Neodiprion lecontei: one gene and its partners. The main gene of each other region encodes a partner of the protein of the gene in region 2 in a complex. Links are inferred from orthologs where the notes say so. Each region holds a gene or a part of one and is shown on either strand. Other genes may lie near its edges.

Region 1 (8,502 bases), on a different chromosome or scaffold from region 2:
AGCACTGTATAATTTTAATTTCCAAAATTAAATTTATCAAAGTCCGATATGCCTAGGATTGAAGCAAGTTGATATAATTTAAAAGTTTCATTAGAAACATTAGAACAAGTATAGTCGAAGATTGATAGAAAATTTCTAGTAATTACTTATGTCAGTGTAAATATTACTTACAAGGTAAACAGTGAGCTAAATTCTTATCACAGAGATGAGAAATACTTCGTTCAACAATGTGTTGAGTAATGTATTGACAAGCTTCAGTATCTACGGATTAATAGGAATTGGGGAGTCTCAGATCTTCTAAGTATGATAAAAATAATACATATGCGCTATGTGAATATGTTTCATGTCGTACAAAACTGGGATACGTATATTGTAGAATACTTTCTTACAAGAATACCATGGAAACGCAAGTGGATGTGCTGCATACGTACTTTAACCTATTATATCTTGAATTATACGGTTGCCGTCACATTTATGTGGATTGGAGTTATGAAAAGTAGACGTTAGCATAAATAAACGAATCGATCGGACAGTAAAGAACAACGCAATTCTGTCCTTATGTCATTATTGATGCTTACCACGCAGGTATTGATACGACGACAAGACGACGTTTGACAGCTTCGAGGGTTTGTCAGACGTGATCGTTCAAAGGCGGCTGTCAGTTTGGATTTTATTTTTCTTTGCTTATGACGATCCACTTGACCTTCGGTTTCCGCTCAAAGTTGATACCACAGTGATACGCTAGATGACAGCAGTAGCTCGTGTATCGACCAATCAGGTTGTAACGTAAGAGAGACAGGTTGTACATGGCATGAGTGCTCTATTTCACTCCTCCGCCACACTTTCTATACACGCGAAACTTCCTCCAGTCAACTCCTCCAGTCAACGCCTCCAGTAGTATTGAGTGAGTAGTATATGCTCTAGGTAAGAACGAAACGGTATGCTTTTGCGCAGCCATGTTTGAGAACTAATCGCGTACCTCGTGGTATCTCTTCCATATGACGGCCATCTTGGATTCTTATATAATTGCATTCGATGTTATTAAAAGGATGGCTTCCATGTGGTCGGCGCAGAACGGGGCGAAAATGCGTCCGCCGGAAGAACACACTTTATTTTGTTAACATCACGAAGTACCTAGATAGTAGAGACCCTAAGAAGTACTCAGACTTATGGCCACCGCTTATAGTAGAAATTGTGATCGTAACTATCACTTTGTCGTAAACATAGCCTCGTGACCCGAATAAGAGACATGAGAGACTAAAAGCCTAAAATCGAAGAAATTTTTAAGGTAAAAAATTCAAATAAGCATTCCAACGATGTTAAGCTTCTTTGTCGTAATAATGTTCCTAACCATGGACATTGACAGAGAAGTTTTTAAGCTGTCAACACCAACTAGCAAAATTACACATCAAATTGCTTATTTTAATTCTGTGCATCACCAGTTTTCGAAATAAACTGATATTTACAACCTCGGGTTTGAACGACAACACTTTGCAATGTCTTTGCATTCAAACTGGGTTGCGTTAACTACGGTTGACATACCTTGGAAAAGTTTTGTCAAGGAGTCCACTGAGGTACCGAGCAAATCTGCAAAGAAATTTCCTGGACGACTTAATTTTCAAGGAATCGAGGCAAAGAAAACTTACGAAGGTATCATCTGCCAAAATTTTAAACCGGATACCTTGGCCAAACCTGACATAGCTCCAGAACAACAGAGTAATCTGCTCAAGTCTAGCAATTCTCTATTTACACAAAAAGTCATAACGAATGTCAGTACAAACTCAATTTTGAAAGCAGTCGAGCAGAACGATTTACATTTCTTAAGGAAACATTTGAATTCAGATAATGTCAATGTGTCGGACGATTTCGGGTGGACACCATTGATGTCAGCAGCATATAATGGCAATTTTGAAATTGTTCAATATCTGTTGAAACTTGGAGTGAATAAGAAAGCAAAGGAAAAATCTGGTTTGACAGCAGCTCAATTAGCTCTTAAAAGAAATCATTTGAATATCGTAGCTCTACTAAGGAAGAAAAATAGTCAGAAAGACCCTGAAGATATTAAAAGTAGCCCAACTTTGTCACACGATAAGTCTGACATTGTTTCTTTACGTGATGATGAACGTGGCAAAATAACGAAAGTAGAGGGGTCATTTAAAAACGAGCTACAATCCATTCAACAAAATGCCAACAATTTAAAATTCGAGTTTTATTGCGAAATATGTAAAACTGCTTTCAAAGAAACGTCTGTTAAACAGCATGAGTCTTCGACACTGCACATTTTTAATACTAAACCAAAATTGCGCTGTGTTGCATATGGGATAGCAAAACAAAACAAAGGGTATCAAATGCTTTTAAATACTGGATGGGACGAAGAAACTGGGCTGGGACCTTCGGGGCAGGGCGCAAAGTATCCAATCAAGACAATTCTTAAAAGAGATCGTAAAGGTCTTGGCCAAGGAGATAACAAAGAAGCTCGAATAACTCATTTTAAGCCAGAGGATGTGTCTGCAGTCTCTCCAGTACGGATAATCCGTCCAAAGACCTTAAGGAAAAAAGATAGAGAAAAATTATTATCCAGAGAAGCTATGAAAGATCGAATGATACGAATAGCATTGTCTTGAATTCGCACATTTTCAGCTATAATTCAGCTGCTGCTGGCATTGCGATAGATGTCTAACTATTCAATTGAATTGCAATAGCTTCCTGCAAGTGTAAGGTCACAAGAAAGTTTATTATAATGCTTACTTTCATATCAGAAAAGAGAAATTACCTGTATTTCTCAAAGAAACATTCGAATTCAGTTATCATTTGTTTGCAAGAATTGATTGAATAAGTTGTCAGTTATAAAAGGGGAAAAACAAATTTGTCATCACTACAGCTTAGTTGACATTGAACAAAGATCGTTCGTATATTGACCATTTAAAAAAATATCAGACAAGGAGATGTGAATATTGAGGCAACGTAAATTTATTATGGAACAAAACTTGACGTATGGAGATCAAGATATTGAGTTTGAGGTTCTTAAGAAAAGTGCGGAGCATCAGATAAGAATTCTTCTACAGAAATCAAGAAAAGATTGATGAAGGAGTGAAAAAAGGCTAAAAAGCAATACAATTGCTTTAGAATAATTGAGTCATTAGGAGAACGTTGAAAAAACACGAGGCTGAAATTGGTTATGTCATTGTAATGAAACGTTGATTATTCACTATTTTTCCATGTTACAAGGACTTTGAAGGAGATAAGTCTTCAAAATATAAGTATAACCGCTTACTGAAATTCAGATAGTTATAATCTCAAAAATAACGGCTTGCCTCAATATGCCTCATTGCAATAACGTAACTAAAATTGTAACTTCGACATGATGAAATGAAGATGGAGAAGGGATGTTGACCAAAGAAGCTATATAAGATCAAACGATACGAGTAACAGGTTTTTCTCACACCACTTGTTCTCGAATCTAATATTCAATGATTGAACAACCATGAGATGTGTATTTTATTACTGTTTAAAAATCAATGGTGTGATAGTTGATTTAGTATGAACTGCTATGTACAATATATAAATAGTGACGTAGCAGAGACAGTTGAGATTACAGTTCAAGGGTGTGTTCAACTTGGGCGTTTTGAGAGCTGTGACAGCCACGTTCTATAGCAGTTTATACGTCGATGTATATCTACATGTATGTACTGAAAGCGCTTAAGTGCTCAATTCGAATGCACCCCAAGTAGTGAAGTGCCTACATCATATGTTTCAACTATGTATTCTTGCCATATAGAATCTTGGAAAGTCCCAATACTGTAAGACTGAACATGAAGAATTTGGCAGTGTAAGATGAAAAATAATTACGCTGTATTTTTTTTTTTCTTTTTGATACATTAGTCCATGTATTCTACTATAGGTATAACAGTCACACTTCATACAATGTATCATGTTGTTAATATCTGAGACTTCAGCAGAAAATCATTCGTTGAAACAACATGCATCATTCTACAAATTAAGGGGAATTCTCAGTCTGGAAGCCGCATTTCAAGAGTTAGAATCATGATTTTTTTTACGAATGAACTAACAGTCTTAATGAATTAACTTTTTTTCAAGATTTATTACATATATTTGTGAACTTGTGTGATTTTTTATGTGTAAAAATATCAAAAACAGGCTGTGGTATAAGCAATGGTGTAGCGGCCCTGTGGACGTGGGTGCCCAATCGGTGCGATATCTGAAGGTTATAAATTTTATGTGAAAAGAAGAAAGATACTTAAATTATAAGTTATTGGTTATCGGTTTACGTAAGTTGTGTGGAAATTTTGAAAATTGTCCAAATTACAACCTCTTGAAGGCAAGACCTCCGCTTTGCACTTTAAAGAAACACGGTAATTTCATTATTATTAACAAATGAATTATCCAAATAACAAGAGCCTATGTGAACTGAAAATGCCTGCTGTTTCGAGGATAAACGCACAAGGCCAAATCAATAGTGTGACTGTTACTCAAGGTATCAGTCATACTGCATTAAGAAATGTAGTTTCGAGATAATCGCAACCGACTGATATCGAATATCGATGCTCACTGTTTCGTTTCAATGGCTGCAGCTTCGTCAATTCTTAGATTTTTTCTATTGTTTTGGGTTCAAAATACGCTTAAAGCATTTCACTTCAAAGATATAAAAGAGAAAATATTGATTTTTGAAAATTTCCGGACTGGGATCCCCTCTTAAGAACTTTGTTTTAAAACTTCATAACATAATTCCTTTCGGTACATGCATTACGTTTACTATTGTCAATATTCTTTATTCTACAAAGCTTATAGTATATTCCCTTTCTGGTGAAGTGAAAAAAAGAATCATTGACTGGTGGTACAACTGGAATGGATGATGTAAGCACTTAATTTCTTACAATATATGTACAAAAAGATGTGCTACTTTGCGATTTTTAAGAAGTTGTAAACTGATATTAATTATTGTTTCCATGTCTTGTTAGGATTAATTACACCTAATTATAAGATTGGTAATTGCATTCAGAATAGAGACAATAAACCAAGCAGATTTTTTTCACCAAAATTTTCAAAAATATTAAGAATGAAAATATGTTCAATGTACTCAAAAAGACGTATGCAATAATCTGAGTAATTGTTAGATTGTTATTGATACGATTGTGATATTTAGCATTATCATCTGTTTCCCACATAGTAACAAAGACTACGCAATGAATGACGAGCAGAAGACATTGAAATATCTGGAAGAAGTTGAGGCCAAGGCTGAAGAGATATTGATGGATAGGCAGGAAATTGTTGCACTGGATAAACGAAGGAATGATGATAGAATGGGGGAGCGGGCTTTGCGGAATCAAAAATTTGATAAAACTTGGATGGCTGTTGGACCTTTGCTGATAAAAATGTCAACAAACTCTGCTCAAGAGTTGCTTGCAAAAGGTAGAATTTAGTGAAAAAATAAAAAATGTGAGACAAGTCAATTCAGCACAATCCTTTGCATTCGCAAACTAATTTCAAAAGTTGTTTCCATGTTGTAGATCAGAGAGAGTGCGATGTTGAAATCAACAAAATTAGGAGTGATTTGAGAGTTAAAGTGAACCAGCTTCGTGATTTAGAGCACACTCAGTCTGTTCCAGGACTAATGCTAAATCCAATGTCTCGTGAAGAAATGTTAGCAGTAAATCAAGTTCTTGGCAAAAGTCTTTGAATGGTTGATGTTTAAAGAGATTCAGATCGAAAAGTTTGACGATAGTAAGTTAATAAAGGTAATATAAAATACCTGGTTATTTGTAACTAGTCATAGGAAGAGAGAAGCTGAAAGAGTTTAAATTTTTAAGAAAAGAAACTTATGGTTGCGGAACCATTGAGAAAAATTATATAAACGCAAGCATTGCATCTTATTATTTGTTTATAGTTATTGGAAAAGTAAGGGTGTTGTTTTGTAAAAATTTAAACTTTTCAATAAAATGTCACAGTGAATAACCACGTTTATTTTTTATACAATTTTGTCTCTTAAGCTTTGAATAACCTATTACCGTCTCATCATTTGTACTTTGGCTTCATCGATGAACCATGGACGAAGGAAAGAGTACTTAGATTCACTGTCCATCTGATGAACCTGCACATCATTCCCTGGTACCCACTCGAATTTGTAGACACATTCGTTATAGTCTTTTGTAACTACTGATTGGACAAAATTCAAAAATTCATTGCAAAAGTTCATACACTCCGAAGCATTCCAAATTCCCTGTAACAATGATGGTATAATTAACACAAATTACGCAAAGTTTTGTAAATAAAATTGCGAAATTTGTTCAGACATTTATTGATACTTGAAAAAAATTTTCTAAAAACTTAACACTAACGATGCTTCTGAAAAACATGCTGTTTTGTGATATCAGAGGGATTCTTTATAAAACTTAATCACCTTTGACATTCTAGTCATCTCTGGTACGCTGTAATTGGTTAAATTTCTAACTATACCATCGTCATCTCGGAATCCACAACAAACGTTTTCGATGCCGACCAAAAAACTTTGGCACCACCATTTAATTAACTTGTATCTTCTAAAGTTTTCCTCCTGACGCCTATTTTCAATAACTCGACTTGTCTTCAGTTCCACAAATTTAACCCCTTTCCAGTCAATCGGCTCTCTTAAAACCTCATTGGATGAAACCCCATCCATCTCCGCGCCATACAATAATCTATTATTGCCAAGGCGAGATGTGAACATACAGCAAAATTCTTCACCTTCATTAACAGGCTTAGAAGTGTCTGATGCTTGTCCAGGTGAATCTGTAAGATCCTAAACTCATTGAATTTAAATCTGGAAAAATAGTACACAGTACTAATTGAGAAAGAAGAAGGAAGTCGGATGGTGAAAAGCATAAAAATTAATGATATTGTAATAAACGCCAATAATTGTTTATACCAGTCAGTAAATATTGCTCGAATTTGAATCCCCAGGACATGAATTGTAACTGCTTTTTGGATATGTTGCTTTTTCGTAGCTTTTTCTCCTCTGTATCAAAGGCGCAAAGGTATATCGTGCCCTGCCACTTCGATGCACAAATTATCCATCCCTCTTGTTTCTCAAATGGAGTACACCAAAGCATTGTCAGTAAACCCCGGAAGCATACAAAATGAGGCTGTAACCTGCAATCGATAAAGAATTACAAAGAGCATTGTCAAGCATGAAAAAGTTTCAAATTTTTTTTGCAGTAATTATTTTCTATTCTTATTCACAATTTGTTGGGTAAAAATTGATTTAAATTTAGCAACACACAAATGCGATACGAAAAATGGCTTGAAACATTAAATCTGTGACGAATAATTTATTTTGAAAAATTCAAACCATCGATCGGAATCAGGTGGAGCACGAATCTTGTGGCAATTCAAAAGAATCCACCGTAACAAGTGATCCAATCTCTCATTATCGGCTTCGGCTGTTTTTCGTATAACCAAATCATAACCCACTTTCAGGTCAAATTTGACAGTCTCCGAAGGTGATGCATTGAAGTATTTCAATTGCACAGTGTTTGGCAGAAATTCTCTGTTTTCGTTTAGACTAAAGCAGCCGGATACCTCTGGTCTACTAAAATGTGGAAAACCTTCCCCATTCCAAGATCTGTTGATGCGAAATCTCGAGGTTTCCATTGTTTAAAAAATGATCAAGATCAGTATTTCGTTTGTTTACAGAGTGAAGAATGGCGACCTTGACACTGCATGGAATAAAGCCAATTCTGACAGATAATTTGCAGCTTCTACCAAGATCCGTGAGATGGCGTGAAAGTATATTGAAATCATTATATTCCAGTGGAGTCCAAACCATACATATTGCATAGCTATGGAACAAACTTCAGTTTAAAAATATTATGACGGATCAACGGCCCTCCAAGTGGTGTTTTTGCAATTACTGTGTTTATTCTGTAATTTGATCAATCCAAATGTTATGAAGAGTTAATGAAAGTCGAGAAAATTACCGATTCGTCATGCTTGTTTATAAATGAGTTGATCTGTCTTGCGGGTGTATACCTATCACAGTAATACTATTCCAGGCACTCCAAAATTTGAGGACGGCTCAATTCTGAGAGAAACAAATTCATTCTTGCGTCTTTGGCTACGAATATCAATAAATATGAATGATATTATGAAACATGAAAAAAATCATCCTTGTCCCAGCAGCACGGCGATATGCAAGATGATCACCCAGCATATGTCAGCTACTGATTTTTTCGTTCCGGACAATAATGTGCGTTTGACTGGTTAGTATTTGAACAGTAAGAAACGTATTGTTGCAATTTGAACCTTGTGGAATCCTTTGTAAGGATTTTTTAATCTGAGAGTGGTGGCTGTCTGTATAAATATTCCCAACTTCCGGATTAATTAATGAACTGTGGTATTCCACACCGATTTTCTGTTTATATTTGTTGAAATGATGAAAATTAGACTACCGTGGCTGACTTTATTATTTTGTTTACAGAGGATCAGCGCAGAATTGACGATCTGTAT
Region 2 (6,960 bases):
GAGTGTAACAAACATCAGATCTCAGTTAGCAGTTAATTATTTATCTTTTCATTTACTTTTTCAATCTTGTCTTTCTTCAATAAATTATCGAGTGTGAGTTTCCAGTTAAAAATTTCCTCGATTCATTGATTCCTCAAAGATGTTCTCCACGTGGAAAATTTGTTGTAAGTCATAAAATTATAGTACAGCTATAGTGTATCTATATACATATTTCGAATTTGAAAAATACTCTCGGCTCGATTAAAAAAAATTTAAATATCTTTCCCAGAAAACATAAGTTATATAAATCGATGTAGAAAAAATCCGAATTCCAAACATAATATATCTACGATTTCTCTCGGCAGATTTTCAGCACGGATTTTTATAACAGAATTTTTAATGTAGAACTTTTAATGTAGGCAGGAATTTAAAAATTTCTAGATTTACAATAGAAAAAAATATAAATATTAAAAGTCACGATCGAATCATTGTCGAATTGCAGTTTAACATCATTTTTCACGATGTTAAACGCACGACTGCATTTTAAGTGGAAAGATTAGACGATGAAATCCAAACTACCCAGACTTTACCTTGTGACTCAGATCAATCAATCCAACAACTATCGACACCTGACTCTTATAATATAGGTTTAAAAATCTTGTAATCAAGATAGTTCACACTGCTCCAAATACCTTGGACGAATGAATCAGTAAACACTCATACGTGATAAATGCTCTGTCAGTAACCATTGTCACGGAAATAGAAAGAAGGCAACAGTAAAGATGCACTTCAAATTTCCCTTTCATTCTTAGTTCAGTAGAAATTAGGTGATGTGCCGTCAGTGGTAATCAGTTGCATACGGAGAGATACAAACAACAATTGACAACGATTATCTACCTGTTGGATATAAGCGACGATTTTGCAGGTGCAAGAATACCCCAGCGATGGGTACTCACGGTAATGGGATGTTTTGGAATGATGAACGTCTACACAATGAGAATTTGCCTGTCTCTGGCAATCACTGAGATGGTAGCCACCACAGAAGCTTCGAAGAATGACATTTCATACGAGTCTTGTCCTTCAGCTAATTTCACCTCATCGAATATTACAAGCAGTGAAAGTAAAGATGGCACTTACGAATGGGACGAATACACGCAGGTCAGAAGACTAGAAGATCGGGATTTTATACCATAAGAAAGCATAGAAGGGCCCACACGAGGGGTTAATCACTCGTTAAATCTGGTTTACACTTTTCCGGATATCGCTTGAAATCTTTTGAAATCCTTGTAATCTTGAAATCAGGTGAACATCAAATCGATGAGTGATTAACCCCTCGAGCCCAAAACACTGCAAACATGACATTAATTAAGTCTGTTCAAAATCAGACTGCGATGTGGCAAAAAGTTTACCCTTTTTCGCGATGGATGAAATAATATTTCAGGGCATAATTCTGTCGAGTTTCTACTGGGGCTACCTGATCACAAGTGTACCAGGCGGAATACTGGCCGACAGATTTGGAGGAAAGTACACACTAGGCATCGCGGTACTGTCAACAGCTGTACTGACCCTGCTGACACCATTGGTAGTCAAATATTACGAGGCAACGGGTCTGATAGTGTTCCGTTTCCTGACTGGGGTCAGCCAGGGATCGACAGTTCCAGCGATCAGCGTCCTAATAGCCCAATGGGCGCCACCGCAGGAGAGATCCAAGCTCGTTACAGTGGCAGCGTCGGGAATGGAGGTCGGATGTGTCCTGGGAACGGTTCTCTCCGGGTTCCTGATACGCTACTCCTCGATCGGCTGGCCGATGGTTTTCTACGTCTACGGCGGGATGGGAGTCCTCTGGTTCTTGGCGTGGATCTTGTTGTGCTACAGTGAGCCGAACGTCCATCCGTTCATAACGGAAGCGGAACGGACGTACCTGCACGAAATGACGATGGAACACACGCACAAGAAGACCGGACCAACCCCGTGGCGGCAGATTCTGACCTCGGCTCCGGTCTGGGCTCTGATTGCTGGTGAAATGGGCTTCTCCTGGGGTTTTTACATGGTACTGACCGACCTCCCAAAGTACATGAACGATGTCCTCAAGTTCTCGATACAGGCGAACGGGCTTCTGACCTCACTTCCTTTCGCCGTTATCTGGCTCGATGGCATAGCATCCTCTTGGCTCGCTGATTGGCTCATAGAAGCTGGCAAAATGTCGAGGACCAACGTCCGGAAGATTTGCACAGTAAGCGGATCCCTCTTTCCAGCGATATTCGTCCTCGCTGCCTCATATGCCGAATGCGACCGCGTTATGGCCGTCGTGTTCTTCACGGTCGGCATAGGGTTCATGGGATCGTTCTATCCCGGCATCATGGTCAATCCCTTAGACCTGAGTCCAAACTACTCTGGAACCCTAACCGCCATCGTAAACGGAAGCGGCGCTCTTGCCGGGATCCTGGCACCCTACGCGGTAGGCGTTCTCACACCTAATCAGACCTTGTTGGAATGGAGGATCGTGTTTTGGATCACCTCCTCCACCTTGGTAGCGACGTCTACCATTTATGGACTCTGTGCTGACGGCGAAGTTCAGTACTGGAATGACTCAGAGTTTGTTTCGAATCATCGATGGAAGGATACTGGTATCAACGCCGAACAACGCAGGGTCCGTAACGACGATTTGTCACCACACAAGCATGATCGTTAATTGTGTGCGAAATATTTGCTGTACAAAATGACATGCATATGCTTATAGTCACTCTGATTTTCCAGGAAGTAAAATTCTTATACTGCCGACTTTTATTCAACCCCTGTTGAAAGAAAGCTCAACTTTCAATTTTGAAAGAACTTTGCAAACAGGTACTAGGCACACGCGACTGCATATTGAGTTGCCTGCCAAAATATTTCTGGGCAACGTTAATTCTAAATTTTGTAACACGGATATCGGATAGAGGTTAAAACATAATATATTCTTGAAAATACAGGCAACTATCCTAAAAACTGATGTCACAGATATCACATTATGTATACATATGTATAAATAAATATGCAAATAAAAGGTATGTGTACTTCATTGCAACCGCGAATAGAAGAAGCAAAAATAAAAACTACATTGAAAAAGTGTTAAAACACATATGTATAAAATTATATAAATATAATTATGTGTATTTGTATAAATATATGCGTATAATTTTTTTTAATACCTTAGATCAATTGCACAACTGTTTACGAATCGTAAGTCAAAAGCTGGTAGTTGAGTCTATGTGATGATTAGAATATTTTTCTATGCGTAAGAAAGCTTGAAATAATTTGAGAAAACCAATATCTCTTGCATGTAAATTGCAAAGTACCAGTAATACCGATATTTTTAGCGAATTAATCCATCAATCATCAACTTTTTTGACTTTTTTCCGTGGCGTAAAAGGCACACTCTGATGATCGACCATTTCAAACGAGTCATGCCCTTCCCGAAAGCACGATGTACAGTACAAATCACCGTCGCATCCCGTGCAGCGGAGCTGCGCATCTTCATTGCAAATTGTACACCAGGGTAACTCTTCTTCCTCTTCAGCTGGCTGTTTAAAATTAAAAATCACAAGAGATTTGATATACAAATCAAGCGCTGCTGCACTTACATCAGTATCCATAGGCTCTAGGTCATCTAGTTCGGCAAATTTCGACTCTATCGCGGCCTCATCCAAAGCTTTTTTAATAATTCTTTTGGTGGCTGTTTGCTCATCTTCCTCAATGTCCTCAGGTTTGTTCTGATTGAAAACAGAGCAGAGGAATAAACCATGAATATCAGCAAGTTGTGATCTTGAAAGATTCTTCGCCATTATTCAATACTGACCTTGCGAATTTGCGCAGGATCTATTCCTCTCAATCTGGCAAGCCTGTCCTCGATCTGTGCATCCGAATTTACATCCGAAGACAGCTTAAGTTCCTCCAAATACTCATTTATCAAATCTGCAGTCTTTTGTTCATCCGACCTCGTATCCACTGAATGGATCTTGAAGAGAAGTGGCAAATTTGGGAGCAACAAAAGTCAATGAGCTAGTTGAACTAGCATACAAATATACAATTGCAATGTATTTAATTTCAGCTCACATTAGTTTGAGGAACAGGATTATTAGGGTCTTGATCCTTGAGCAGAGCAAGCCTTCTTCTAATCTCCTCCAAGCTAGTTTGAGGCACAGGTTTGTCCTCATCTTTCAATTTCCTAAGTCGATCAACCATATTCTGATCCGCTGGATCTAGTCCAGACTTCAGGCGATCCCATCGTCCAATCTCCTTTTTGTACAAAACAATCGGTGGTTTGGACGGATTTTCAAGCGAATTTAATCTGTGCAGTTTTGGAAAGATTAATGAATGTTTATCATTGAAGATGTAGTAATTGAACAAATGACACTGAAATAAGTTATTCCATCTCTTCATCTCCACTTGCGTACTTCTGAGTAATATCTATTGGAGCAACTTGTTCGACGGACAACGGTTGTCCCTCAGACGGTGTTGAGAGTTGAGGTTTTAAATTTTCAGACTGAACCTTCTCCTCTGCCTTGTTCTCCACCCCGTCTTTCAACCGATAATAGCACTTGCCGCATATTTTTGTGCTGCCAATATCTGGCAGGTCAAATTTGTACCTGAGACACTTGGCGCAATAGGAAAAATGGCAACTTGGACAACCGTGCTGGAAGAAACATTGAAAAGTATTGATATGAATATGGCAAATTTTGTGTCAAATTTTTCTAACTTGTTGCTGTGCATGCTAATAAACAATAACAATAGAATAAGGAATTTGGGGGTAAAAAAAGAAGAGAACGAAATAACTCTAAACAAATATTGCGTAATTGTATAATCAAAGTATGAATCACTCGGTCGATATGCAAGAGTGGAATTGATAGTACGAATTTTTATAATTACCTCTCGAGTAAAGAAGGTGAATTTTGTTTGACACGCGTTGCATGACATTTCATCAATCCTCTTCGTGCCAGTTGAACGTGAGCAGAAGACTCGAAAACTTGAGTCAAATGTGAAAAACTGGTGTGCCCAGATACCGTTTAAAATTATTTCCCGTTGCCGCACCTCAATGCGCAAATTCTCATCATTTGTGATCTCTCTCGAAGATCATCGTCCATCTTGCAGCTAACGGACAACTCTGCAGCGCTTTCGAGTTTCGACGCATATCCGATTATCGATAGTATATCGACAGGATTCAAATTAAATTCAAAAAATGGAACGTTCTTACAATCCACACCGCTAATTGACTACTGAATTTCAGAGTGAATTATTATAACCCTGCGATGTATAAGTCGTGTAATAATACGGTGCTTTGTTCGATTGATTTTAATTCCTTATTTTCGCTTATTTTTCATTACTTAAAACGTTCATCGATGCAAAATACGGCAATTCAAAATTGATCGATAGTTGTGGTTATCGATATAGACCGTTGGCACATTTCTGCGAGAAGTGAACATCGATATATCGCATTTCTCGAATCACGAACCACGCGTTCAGTGCACCAAGGACTGTTTGACGTTTGATTAACCACAAAAACGCGACTAATACTGCAGAAGATTGATAAAAATAGGCAGAAAATCATCGTTCAAAGTACCAATCTAAGCAGAAATTAATTTTCAATGGACGACGAGGCTGAGACGTACAAATTGTGGAGGATAAGAAAGACCGTGATGCAATTATGCCACGACAGAGGTTATCTCGTAACGCAGGACGAGCTCGATCAGACCCTGGAACAATTCAAAGAACAGTTCGGGGACAAACCAAGTGAGAAAAGACCTGCAAGAAGTGATCTTATCGTACTTGTCGCCCACAACGACGATCCGACCGATCAGCTGTTCGTGTTCTTTCCAGACGAACCCAAGATCGGCATAAAAACAATCAAGACATACTGCCAGCGCATGCAAGAAGAAAAAATTCACAGGTAATGGGAATACGGATTGATGGAACAAAAAGCATATGTATCTTATGGCCTGCTTTGTATCATTTAATTGCATGTCATCTTCATGTCTTTCAGAGCAACTATCGTCGTTCAGCAGGGAATGACACCTTCAGCTAAACAGTCGCTAGTCGACATGGCACCAAAGTACATACTAGAACAATTTCTGGAGTCTGAATTACTGATAAACATAACTGAGCACGAACTGGTTCCCGAGCATGTTGTTATGACACCTGAAGAAAAGCAAGAATTGCTCTCAAGATACAAGCTCAAGGAGAATATGCTCATGCGCATACAAGCCGGCGACCCAGTTGCCCGTTACTTTGGCCTAAAGCGTGGACAGGTCGTCAAAATTATCAGACCATCTGAAACTGCCGGGCGATATATATCCTACAGGCTTGTCTGTTGACGGAAGAAAATCCACAATTTTATTCTATACTTCCCCTACACGATATTTTAAGTTTTATCATGTTCAAGTTAATGTTAAGAAAACAAATATTCTTATCCGAATAAAAATTTCTATGAAACGAAAATGCTTAATTTGTTTTTGTGAATTATTCTACTTTAGTTGAGAAAATTAGGATTTCATGTATTATATTTCCATGAAACATTAGGGTTTCTTTTCACTGCAGCTACATGCAAATTGGAGCGACATCATTGGCTCAAAATCAGCAACCACTCCCATCGTGCCATATCGTAAAAATTGAGCCAATAGCAGGACTCAATATCCATGTCGCTTAGTTAAAATACGGACTTTAGGTACTGAACAGCTTCATCTCAACTTAACCTCAAATACGGTTACCTAAATATTAAACTCGATAGATTTAAGAGTCGAAAAATATTGACATTTAACAAAGAGTAAATGAAACAAACATTTTACATTCGTACTGTACCCAGAATTGTGAAGAAACAATACGCAGTAGGTCAAAAACTGATTTTCAAACCGAAGTTGTCATTCAATAAACAATTCTAACCTCGAAACGCAGTTTGTTTATCTCAGAAATAAGAAAGTAATCGATCAAAGACGATGCTATTACGAGACG
Region 3 (10,106 bases), about 3.7 Mb from region 2:
TGGAAGAAATGATACATGTACACGTACCAGGAACTGTGCAATTCATTAGTCAGAGTAGAATCCTAGAGGTCATTAATCATTCTCTCCGTCAATCGTACATATACGCCTAATAACTTTAAAACTATGAAATTTTGTTAAAAGAACCCTGATAGCACGCAATACGATCAGAAAACTTTGAAAATTATTGAGATTTTGAAGTTTCGCTTGGATGTTTTCTAATTACGACAAGTCAGGTTACGGTCAACTTTTACATTGTTGACTGTAAATTGACAATCTAGCGGGGATTCGTAAACGTATCGTTCACATGTGGACAACCATTGGCGTTTTAAATACGCTATAATTTTTTATTTCACTGGAGGTGTACGCTTAATTGCGAAAAAGAGAGCAGTGAATGCTTTATACACAGTCACTTTTACATTGTTATCACATAGAGTAATACATTTTATCTTAATTGCGTGGATTCGTATAGTACCCATGTATAAAAATTGTTTGCAATATGTGCATAAATTACGTTCATACGCTTATCAATATCTTACATCTCGTATTTGGATGCTGGAATCCTTTTTATAAGAGAAAGTCTCCAGAGGTTTCGGGAATATATTTATACCAAGGCCAAGTCGTTACGTAATTATGCAAAATAAAGCGTGCTACAAATTTTAGTGATATGGAGTAGAAAAACAAAACAATAACCGTACCTTTCTCGAATCATGAAGTAATCACTGTAATGAAATTGTATACTACGGCATGATATATTAAAACCGACAATTTGAAGAATTGCTTATTACGGATTACCGATGCAAATTAGTGACCTTATACATATAATGATTATTTTGAGAATCTCCACATACCTTACTGTCCACTGTCGTGATGACAAGTATTGGATAATGTCCTCATGACGTCAGAACCTGATTATCGGCGTCATTTTATCACCACATAACCTAAGTTTTTAATTTTAATGGAAGCAAATCGTACTTCTTGGAGTTTCAAATCACTCATGTCATGTAAATTAATTAACCAACATCAATAATACATCTGTTCTAACATCCACACGTGAAAAACACGTCGATCAACGCTCAGCTGTCAGTCTGATTGCATTACTTTAATTTGTTTTCCACCAGATGACGCATTGAAAAGTGACAATGCCAGTATTCAGAAAAGATGAACCTAGTTAACGAAGCTCATACCATACGTTTGTTCATTTGCAGAGTTGCCAATTTGGACGTACGACGGTAGTTCAACGTACCAAGCGGACGGTGCCAACAGTGACATTTACCTGACCCCGGTGGCGATCTATCGCGACCCCTTCCGAAGAGGCGACAACAAGCTTGTCCTCTGCGAGACTTACAAGCCGGACAAGACACCGACGGAAAGTAACAAGCGGTTCGCCGCCATGCAATCGATGGAAGCCGTGAAGGATCAGGAGCCGTGGTTCGGTATCGAGCAGGAGTACACCTTCCTCGACTTCGACAACAGGCCGTTGGGCTGGCCGAAGAACGGTTACCCCGGACCCCAGGGACCGTACTACTGCGGTGTCGGTGCGGACCGAGTGATCGGGCGGGAAATCGTCGAGGCTCATTACAGAGCGTGTCTTTACGCCGGGGTGAAGATCGCCGGAACAAACGCCGAGGTGATGCCCTCGCAGTGGGAGTTCCAGGTCGGTCCCTGCGTCGGTATATCGGGGGGAGACGACCTTTGGATGGCGCGGTTCATCCTCCACCGCATCGCCGAGGAGTACGGCGTGATCGCGACCCTCGACCCGAAACCCGTCGATGGAGCGTGGAACGGCGCTGGTGCCCACACCAATTTCTCGACGAAGACGATGCGCGCCGATGGCGGAATCGCCGAGATCGAGAGGGCCATCGACCGCCTCAGCAAGAAGCACCTCAGGCACATCCAGGCCTACGATCCACGCGGAGGAAAGGACAACGAGCGCCGTTTAACCGGAAAGTGCGAGACCAGCAGTATCCACGACTTCAGCGCCGGCGTCGCGAACAGGAACGTCAGTATTCGTATACCTCGCGGCGTCGCCGAGGACAAGAAAGGGTACTTGGAGGACAGGAGGCCCAGTAGTAACTGTGATCCTTATTCCGTCATCGACGCCCTTGTTCGCACTTGCGTTCTAAACGAGTAATCGGACTTGGTGTATAAATTGTACAATACGGGGAGGGGGGGGGGTCGACGATTTATCATTGGGAATGGAAATGTAACGCTGTGACATCTGGTGGCGAAAAAATACGTTAACCTAATTTCGGGGCCCGTATTTAATTTTTAATGAGCACTTTTATCGTATTTTTTACAGGTTATCGGCTGCATGTGAAAAAATTAAAGCCTCGCAAATTGCATCAAGTTGTCTGTATATGTTTTCTATTCGCATAATTGACATAAAATATTTTGCCGATAGTTCGGTTCTCGTCGCCATATTGCTTTATAGCTACACCTCCACGTTCGTTCCCGGAATAATCACAGAAAGCCAGTTGAAGTTTACATGAATAATTTTTCGTTAATTCGTTTCACATCCTCTAGCATCTGTCTTAGAGAAGGGTTATGAACTAATCAAGAGGAATTAATATCACGATTTTATAGATCTTTGACCAGCAGGATTGACGGGGTTATTTTTATTGCGTCCATATCGTAACATAGTTCAACTGTCTTGGCTGAGGTCCATTCGCCTGAAGAATCTTTGAACTGCGCATATCAATTGACGCGTAGGGCTTGAAATAAAATGCTAAAGTGAAAGTCAGCAGTTGTGCCCACGTCCAACTTACGTGACCATGAAATACACGAACCTGGCGTCAGACACGCGTGTAATACCCTTACATAATTCACAAATTTGAGTCAATATTGAATATAGGATATGTGTATACAATAATAAGACGCGTTGATACTAACAAAAGAATTAATTACGCCCAACTAACGTTAACGTGAAATCCTATTAAACCTCTCGGCCGCGCACGCGAAATGTAAGAATATAGATAATAAAAATTGATAATACAATGTATATGCGCCAGCGCACCAGCGTCATACAATTGGCAACAATAATATTCTATTTTAATATGATATTGAGATATTATATATAATTATGTACGTAATCGTTGTAATATGTATATTATATTATAATATATTATATATACTTTCCTATTTGTATAAACATATTTTCTATATCAACGTTGTAGATACGAATCATTATACTATTACCATATTATAAATATTATATACACGATAAAGATAATAATTACTATGTTTAGGAGGAGGTTCGCGCTACCGACTGGGGCCGGATACCCGCTTGTTATGTTATCTATTAAACAAATATATGAGCAAAAAAGAACGGTGCTCGGATCTGTAATTCATTTCGAAACCCAGCAATTCGATTACTCGCCTGTCCTCCCATTGAAATTTTAAATCATAAGAAATTCGAGACCTCACGGCATATATTATAACAACGAAACTTGACTGCTTATAAATACTGCGTCGGCTTATTATTTATCGATAACGATGTATATTCAATAGGGCAAGACTTGAAAGCTTGTTTGACCATTCAAATTTCGAATGGAATAGAAAATGAAAAGAAATTACGAGGAAACGAATGAAGTTAAGAGTTGTCGTGGGCGTCGGATTAGCCGGAAACTGATCCTATCAAATCCATCGTAAAAAATGTTACGAACATAGTTTTTCTACCGGAGATATATCCAAACTTTAAAGACCTTGCACTTGATAGTTATGAATAAAAATGCGGTCACTTTATTGCATCCTCGTGTTTCCTCATCTTAGTCAGATTTTGGTTCGCAAAGAAATTAGTACACTACGGGATAATATTACATGTTTGTTTATTTTACTAATAGCATATTTTTATTTGACGAAGCCTATATAACTGCTTTTTTTTGCTAAAAATTTGATCCCAAAATATGAATCACCGATAGTCGTTGGGTAAAATTTACTTTTATCAACAATTCTAAGGGAAAAAAAATGTTTCAGTAATTATACCAATGCCGTCAAGGTCTTATGACAAATATTTGCATTTGTTTAGTATTCTTACCTATACGGTAGAATTCAGATATGTAAAAATTCAAATGATTCCGCGATGTTTACTAGTATAGATTAATCGGGAAATATATGATTCCGCATAATAGAATATTCAAATTATCTGCCGACATATTTCGATTATAAATGCTGGTAAACAAACGTAACTTCCCGTACAACTTGATTCTTATTCGAAAAACTACGCAACTCTTTTACTGCGTTATACGATACATCTGCAGTGACTTAATTGGTAAACAGGATGATCTATTTACAAGTGTCAATTCTATATGTTGTTGACAGAGAACTTATGTAAGACTCTTGTAAACATGTGAATGCGATCTTAACAATCATTAGAATGCCCGTTGTTTTACCAGTAGACAATAAATCCTTCATACTGCAAATATTCAGCGAGAAAATTATTTCGCTCTATTTATCGAGGGTATTAAATACTAAACGTTTATAAACTACCACTACGAAGAAATACAAACGGATCAACAATAAGTAGACCTTATTGTGGGCTACGCTTTTTGAACGTGTAGGATTTTTGAATGAAATTTTCCAACGAATTAAAAGAGATTGGCCAGTTTCGCATTCTGAACAATGACTTTTATACAGCACAATTTACGAATATCAATACGAAAGTCGAACTCTGTTAATGGAAGTATTTAAATTTCATGAAATAAGAAGAACCACAAACGATCTTTTTTCGCACAGAAATAGAAGCAAAAACTAGTTACTTCTATAGTTTTTAATTGAGTTATTTAGTTTTTATATATAGTTTTCATATATTTTTAATATTTCAATTTTGAAACATTCCTTTCAACATCTTCAAGATTAGATTATTAAATAGAGGCAATGGTACCTTTTTGATCTACTGTTAATTATTTTTCCAAGGGATCTATGATTTTATAATTTTCAAAAGTATATTCTTTATTGAGGTTTTAAACGAGGTCAGTAAATTAAATTTAGATCTAATTATGTATTAGATAATTAATGTATTTAATGAAAAATATGAATGAGAATTATAACGTTCACATTAGGGACTTCAGATGACAAGATAATCTCAAAGCGTACACAGCAGTAGTGAATTATTTAGTAGATTATTAACAATTATGTATTTTCCGATCGTTTTTAGGCCTTCATAGCTGCCTTCAATTGAGCCTGTTGAAAGGATTGTTGAAGTTTAGCCAATGCCTCGCGGTGAGTATCCTGCTTTTTGTCCAGGTTTGCTATCAAATCTTCAGTGCGTTTTCTGAAAACAATATTAAACACTCTTCGATTGGCAAGTCTTATTACTATACTTATGTATCTGTAATTCTGTGAAAGTATCAGCTTTCCAATCAAATTGACAGATTTACGATTGTTCGGCACTATGCCTTCTTTTAGTCAACGTTGGCACCTTTGGCTGCTAGTTTCAGCTTTACGTGAATCTTGAAACACTCGCAAACTTCAAATGTATTTGACCGATAATCAACACTTGGAAGAAATCAAACATCGCTGAATGAAGGTGACTTCATTTATTCAATTAGCATTCGTAACGAAGGTAGTAAGAATCTTGTATATGGCCTTTCGTTGCAAAGTATTCATACTCTTGTTTTGCCTAATGTTGTACTGAAGTTTAAAATTTTTATTAGAAATATCTGAGGCGATACTTACAATTCGGCCGAAATGTACTCCATTCTTTTGACAACGTTTTGCTTTGCCTCTTCCAAGTCCTGCTTGACTAGCACCGGACCAATTAACTTAAAAACCTCGTTCCCTGATTTTAAAAGATCTAATTCTTGTTTTACAGCGGTATTTTCATTTAACTGTCCATCGAGTTGCTGCCGTTGTAGAAGAGCCTTGTGGTAATCTGATATCGAGAAATATTTCTAACGAATTAATGAGTCGAGAGAAAATCAATCCAGTGTTTTAATGGAAAGAGTTGATCTTACCTTTTTGAACAATTTTAAATTTATCAAGTTCAGCTTGAAGTTTCTTTTGAATCTCATCAACCATTTTAATTGAGTAATGTAGATATTACCTTGTGAAATTAAATCAAGAATTGCGATAACGCGATGGTCAATTATTTATTTCTGTAATACCCTAATTTCCACAACTTAGCAGGATTCTATAAATGTTAGGTTAGGTCGAAACATCACGCAATTCCGGAAACCGAAGCAACTTAATGTAGGTGGAAAAGTCGATTGGTATATCAAAAATCTAGTGAAACTGTGAGTGGAACTGAAACAGAGCTTGTTAACAATATAGTGAAGCAAGAAAGACAATAAGGTATGAGTCACAGTAATATTCGCAGGCTGTACAACCGAATGTAATTTTCCTAGTTCATCGGCCTATGACGTTGCAGTAGCACTCCCCGACAATTCCAGAAGTTTGACACTAGATCCAAGGAGCTTTTCTTACGTCATTTTCCGACACGAATCAAAACCACTGATAGCGTTTTCCATTGGATGCACTGAGTGTGAACTGAGAGCGCACTAGCGGTAGACTCGTATTTCCACTAATTTCCAGCGTGTTCCACTGGCAGCTCGGGTACGTGAACTTGGCACTGAGTGCGTAAAATATTGCCCTGAATCGGGAGTCGGTGTCAAAGCAGTGCAATTATGGCTGCCGATCGTGAAAGAGTCTAAGTAGGTGCTGTGACAGCAATTCTTTTATTAGATCTAATTTCATCTTCGTCTAGCAGTGATGATGACTTGCTGGAGCCGAAAGATAGAGGAGAGATTCCCAAAATTTTAAATGTCCTAGGAGTAATCCACAGCATGTCCGATATCGAAGTATGGATACACATTTTTTCAGCTTTTAGAGGTTAACTGCTAGGTATATTTCAGGAGATTGGGACAGCTCGACTTGCTACTTATTAATTTTTATCTTTTCAGTGGAATTGTCAATTTTTTTTGCCCCTGTATGCTCGTGCCTAACATTTGTGACATATATTTACAAACAAAAAATTACCGTTGCGTTTGTTCAATTGGCTCCTTTATCACTTGCTTGAAAAAACTGACAGTCGCGCAGTCAGTCAAGTAACGTCACATTATTTCTGATTTAGGAGAAATTATGATTTGGAGGCTTATTACGGTTCTCGAGCGAGTTTACTCACTTCTCACATTTTCATCTCACGTGAGTTTAGTCACTCTATTACGGATCTCTCGAGTGAAAATGTGAAGTAACTAGGCACTTCCGGTATAGGGATCTCACATTTTCACGAAAGTTGACTCCATTTTGTCAGATAACCTAGAAAAGTTGTTGTGAATGTCAGAAAGAATTGTTGAAGAAAATGAACGTGACAGAAGTGTAATATATAAAATATGTAATAAATAATATAAATATATATAAGTTATATTGAATGGGTCTGAGGCATCGCGTAGTGTTCGTCGTATTCTGAGCATTCGATTTTCCCGATTTTGCATAATCACGATCACTAAATTATTCATTGTACAAGTTCCCACGTATCAATAACTTTTACTCTTTAACCAACAAATATGGAGTGATCTTCGTTCTTTTATGAAACCGATGGAACTTTCAGGCAAATCCAAGCAAATTACGCTCACGAGCATGCGCAGAACGATTCTCGACACCGAATTTCGTGTCGAGTTTATTCATGTGGATAACGTCTTTTCACCTCGTGAGATTCACCGTAATAGAGCGAGCCAGTCACTTTCGTCATTTTCACTCGATTCGAGAACCGTAATAAGCCCCCTAGTCTGCCTTTATACGTTTTACGGCGTGTTCCACTCAGAAGGTTTGCCCCGATGCCGGGCGACGCATGCACGGAACGAATGCCCCCTGTTCGAGCCAGTGCAACCAGTAGAAAACGCTATGAAATATATTTCTATATTTCAGTGATCACACTTTTTAGTGACTGTAGTGGTTGGATCTAACGGAATAGGCCAATGAAACAACTTAGTGTCATGTGTCAGAAATTGACACAAGGACAGTGCATGTTCAATCGCGTTTTTGAGACAAATCGGGAAAGGGATGATCGTTTCAATTACCTTACGATTAAAAATATTAACACAGTTCAGAATGATGTAAGCTTACTCGAGATTGCATAAGAATGGCATGTTGGGAAGTTATTATTTGTGTTCATGAATACTGGTATGTTGTATGTATGAAATTACAACCATGTATTAAAATTGTTAAAACGAAACCAATGATACAATAGTATATACAATGTTGTAAGCATTTATTAAAAATGTATGAAATAAACAGTAACTTCAAATTGTTAGGGCACTGATTCAGATGACAATTAACGAGGCAACATCTCGACATAACGAATGACTTGCATAGTTGTCGATTCTGTATCGAGTAATTTAATGTGCAAATCAACATCAAGAAGATATCGCATGTTCCAGAACAGTGTTATCCCAGGAAGCTGTTAGTAGACAATTTTGGTCCCATGCCAATCCACGAACAAAGTCACGATGGTTCTTATTTTCGTATATCACTTCCATGTTGTGGCTTGTATCGAACACCTTCACCTCTGTACTATCGCAGCATCCAGCAAATTGGTCATTTCTATGCAAATTGAATAATTAGGGCAAGTATAAAAATAATTTCAGTGTTGTAGAAACATTATACTCATGTACATAGCCACTGGGAATGAATCAAGCGAAATTGGTTCACACAAACCTGGCTGAATTGAATAAAAGCCTGTAAACTCCTCTAGAAAAAGCTCGAGGGTTTTGGAAAACAGGTTCACTATTTGATTGCCTGACATCAAGCACTAAAATTCTACCATCTGCATCTCCAATCACAAGTTCATGTACATTTTTCGGATTCCATGCTGCTGCAGTCAGTCCACATTCGACATTTTTGATTATACCTTGGAATAGTATTATGATACAGTCACTAATGTTACAGAGGAAAACGAATGTGAAATATTATCAAGTATCTGAAATTAAGCACTTCGCATCAGTTAAGACACTTTGTGGCTTATGTCTGATAATTACAAAATTGAAATCAATGCTAAAGTTGAATATTTGTGTAAAGTGTTTCAGGTTAGTTATTTTTCAAAAAACTTTGCAGAGCAAAAGTCGATGACAAAGGTCGATGACCATGATCAAAAATCTAGATTCATTAACAAAGAGGGATTCATAAACTGCATACATACAGCTGGCTGGCTTTGGTTGTCGGAGATCCCACAGTAATGCATCGTGATCAAGAGAAGTAGATGCAAAGATATCTATGGATTTGGGTTGCGCTTGTACGCAAGTCACTGTATCTGTGTGAGCCGGACTGAAAGTATGACTGGAATACAACTCAACCGTATCCCAAACTTTTATGCTGGAAAAATTAACGAAATTTCATTTACATTATACAAATTCATATTTTGATATGAATCAACCAAATATTAGCATCATTGGTTGAGTATGATTTATTGCAATAAGTAATACTGTTAATGTTCAAGCATGCGCGCAGTAATTAACTAATGTTGCAAAAACCATAAACTATACAACTGCTCTTGTAACATACAAAGAAGCACCTGCTGTAAGATTAACGAATATCAGTTACAAGTAACTTTTAACAAATGGAAGCCCACAGAATTGAATCACATTGTGAGCAGTTTGGACCAAGTAAAATGAGATTCAAAATCTAGAATCTTCATCCACAGCATAAGATGAACAGATCTGAGTTTTTGGAATTTATTAAAGGTAACTTATATTGATCGCTCTGAGCAATTTTTTTGCTAATACCAATAATCCATCCCTCCTGTAACTAGACGAGTGTTTGTATCGAAGGCTGATACGGATGTGATGGCATCGTCATGCTCAAATGAATATCCTAAACATTGTAACTCATAGTTGTGTGTGTCAGCCATCTCATTTATACTAAGAATCTGAAGAACTCCGCTGTCTTCACAGATTACAAATTTATTAGTTCCACTTAAGCATGCACCGTCACATACTCCACTTTCAGTTTTCATAGCGGTTGTTGCTTTGTCTCTATTGAAGTCGGTATGATCCTTGTAATACCAAACAGTGCCATTCCAATAACGGTCTGTCATATTACTCGCACCTAATATTGCGCCAATACCTGTAAATCATGGATTTGATTGCAATTGGAATGCAATAGTGTTACTTAAACAA

Evidence for each region. The genes of interacting proteins can lie anywhere in the genome.
Region 1: DNA-directed RNA polymerases I, II, and III subunit RPABC1 (region 2) and p53 and DNA damage-regulated protein 1 share a complex: the UniProt entries of both Homo sapiens proteins name them as parts of the PAQosome complex. The link is inferred for Neodiprion lecontei from reciprocal best matches to the Homo sapiens genes POLR2E and PDRG1.
Region 3: DNA-directed RNA polymerases I, II, and III subunit RPABC1 (region 2) and prefoldin subunit 6 share a complex: the UniProt entries of both Homo sapiens proteins name them as parts of the PAQosome complex. The link is inferred for Neodiprion lecontei from reciprocal best matches to the Homo sapiens genes POLR2E and PFDN6.

The regions. Positions count from the first base shown.
Region 1 is NC_060264.1:9,172,153-9,180,654, reverse strand, and holds p53 and DNA damage-regulated protein 1, read left to right. Parts: upstream 1-3,695; 5' UTR 3,696-3,812; coding exon 3,813-3,829; intron 3,830-3,867; exon of another isoform or gene 3,868-4,870; coding exon of another isoform or gene 4,871-4,875; intron 4,876-5,188; coding exon 5,189-5,430; intron 5,431-5,528; coding exon 5,529-5,698; 3' UTR 5,699-5,994; downstream 5,995-8,502. Other genes in the region: decapping and exoribonuclease protein, read right to left, coding at 6,023-6,238, 6,419-6,786, 6,923-7,146, 7,346-7,647; uncharacterized protein LOC107224090, read left to right, coding at 7,698-7,782, 8,049-8,255, 8,474-8,502; uncharacterized protein LOC107224089, read right to left, coding at 7,864-7,917. UniProt on the Homo sapiens protein: May play a role in chaperone-mediated protein folding.
Region 2 is NC_060266.1:3,233,455-3,240,414, forward strand, and holds DNA-directed RNA polymerases I, II, and III subunit RPABC1, read left to right. Parts: upstream 1-5,442; 5' UTR 5,443-5,600; coding exon 5,601-5,902; intron 5,903-5,995; coding exon 5,996-6,326; 3' UTR 6,327-6,450; downstream 6,451-6,960. Other genes in the region: putative inorganic phosphate cotransporter, read left to right, coding at 140-164, 905-1,137, 1,421-2,671; abscission/NoCut checkpoint regulator, read right to left, coding at 3,348-3,539, 3,600-3,728, 3,815-3,973, 4,072-4,306, 4,413-4,651, 4,885-4,932. UniProt on the Homo sapiens protein: DNA-dependent RNA polymerase catalyzes the transcription of DNA into RNA using the four ribonucleoside triphosphates as substrates.
Region 3 is NC_060266.1:6,914,339-6,924,444, forward strand, and holds prefoldin subunit 6, read right to left. Parts: upstream 6,309-10,106; 5' UTR 6,016-6,308; coding exon 5,952-6,015; intron 5,870-5,951; coding exon 5,674-5,869; intron 5,270-5,673; coding exon 5,149-5,269; 3' UTR 2,509-5,148; downstream 1-2,508. Other genes in the region: glutamine synthetase 2 cytoplasmic, read left to right, coding at 1,206-2,131; methylosome protein 50, read right to left, coding at 8,349-8,535, 8,650-8,842, 9,131-9,303, 9,714-10,053. UniProt on the Homo sapiens protein: Binds specifically to cytosolic chaperonin (c-CPN) and transfers target proteins to it. Binds to nascent polypeptide chain and promotes folding in an environment in which there are many competing pathways for nonnative proteins.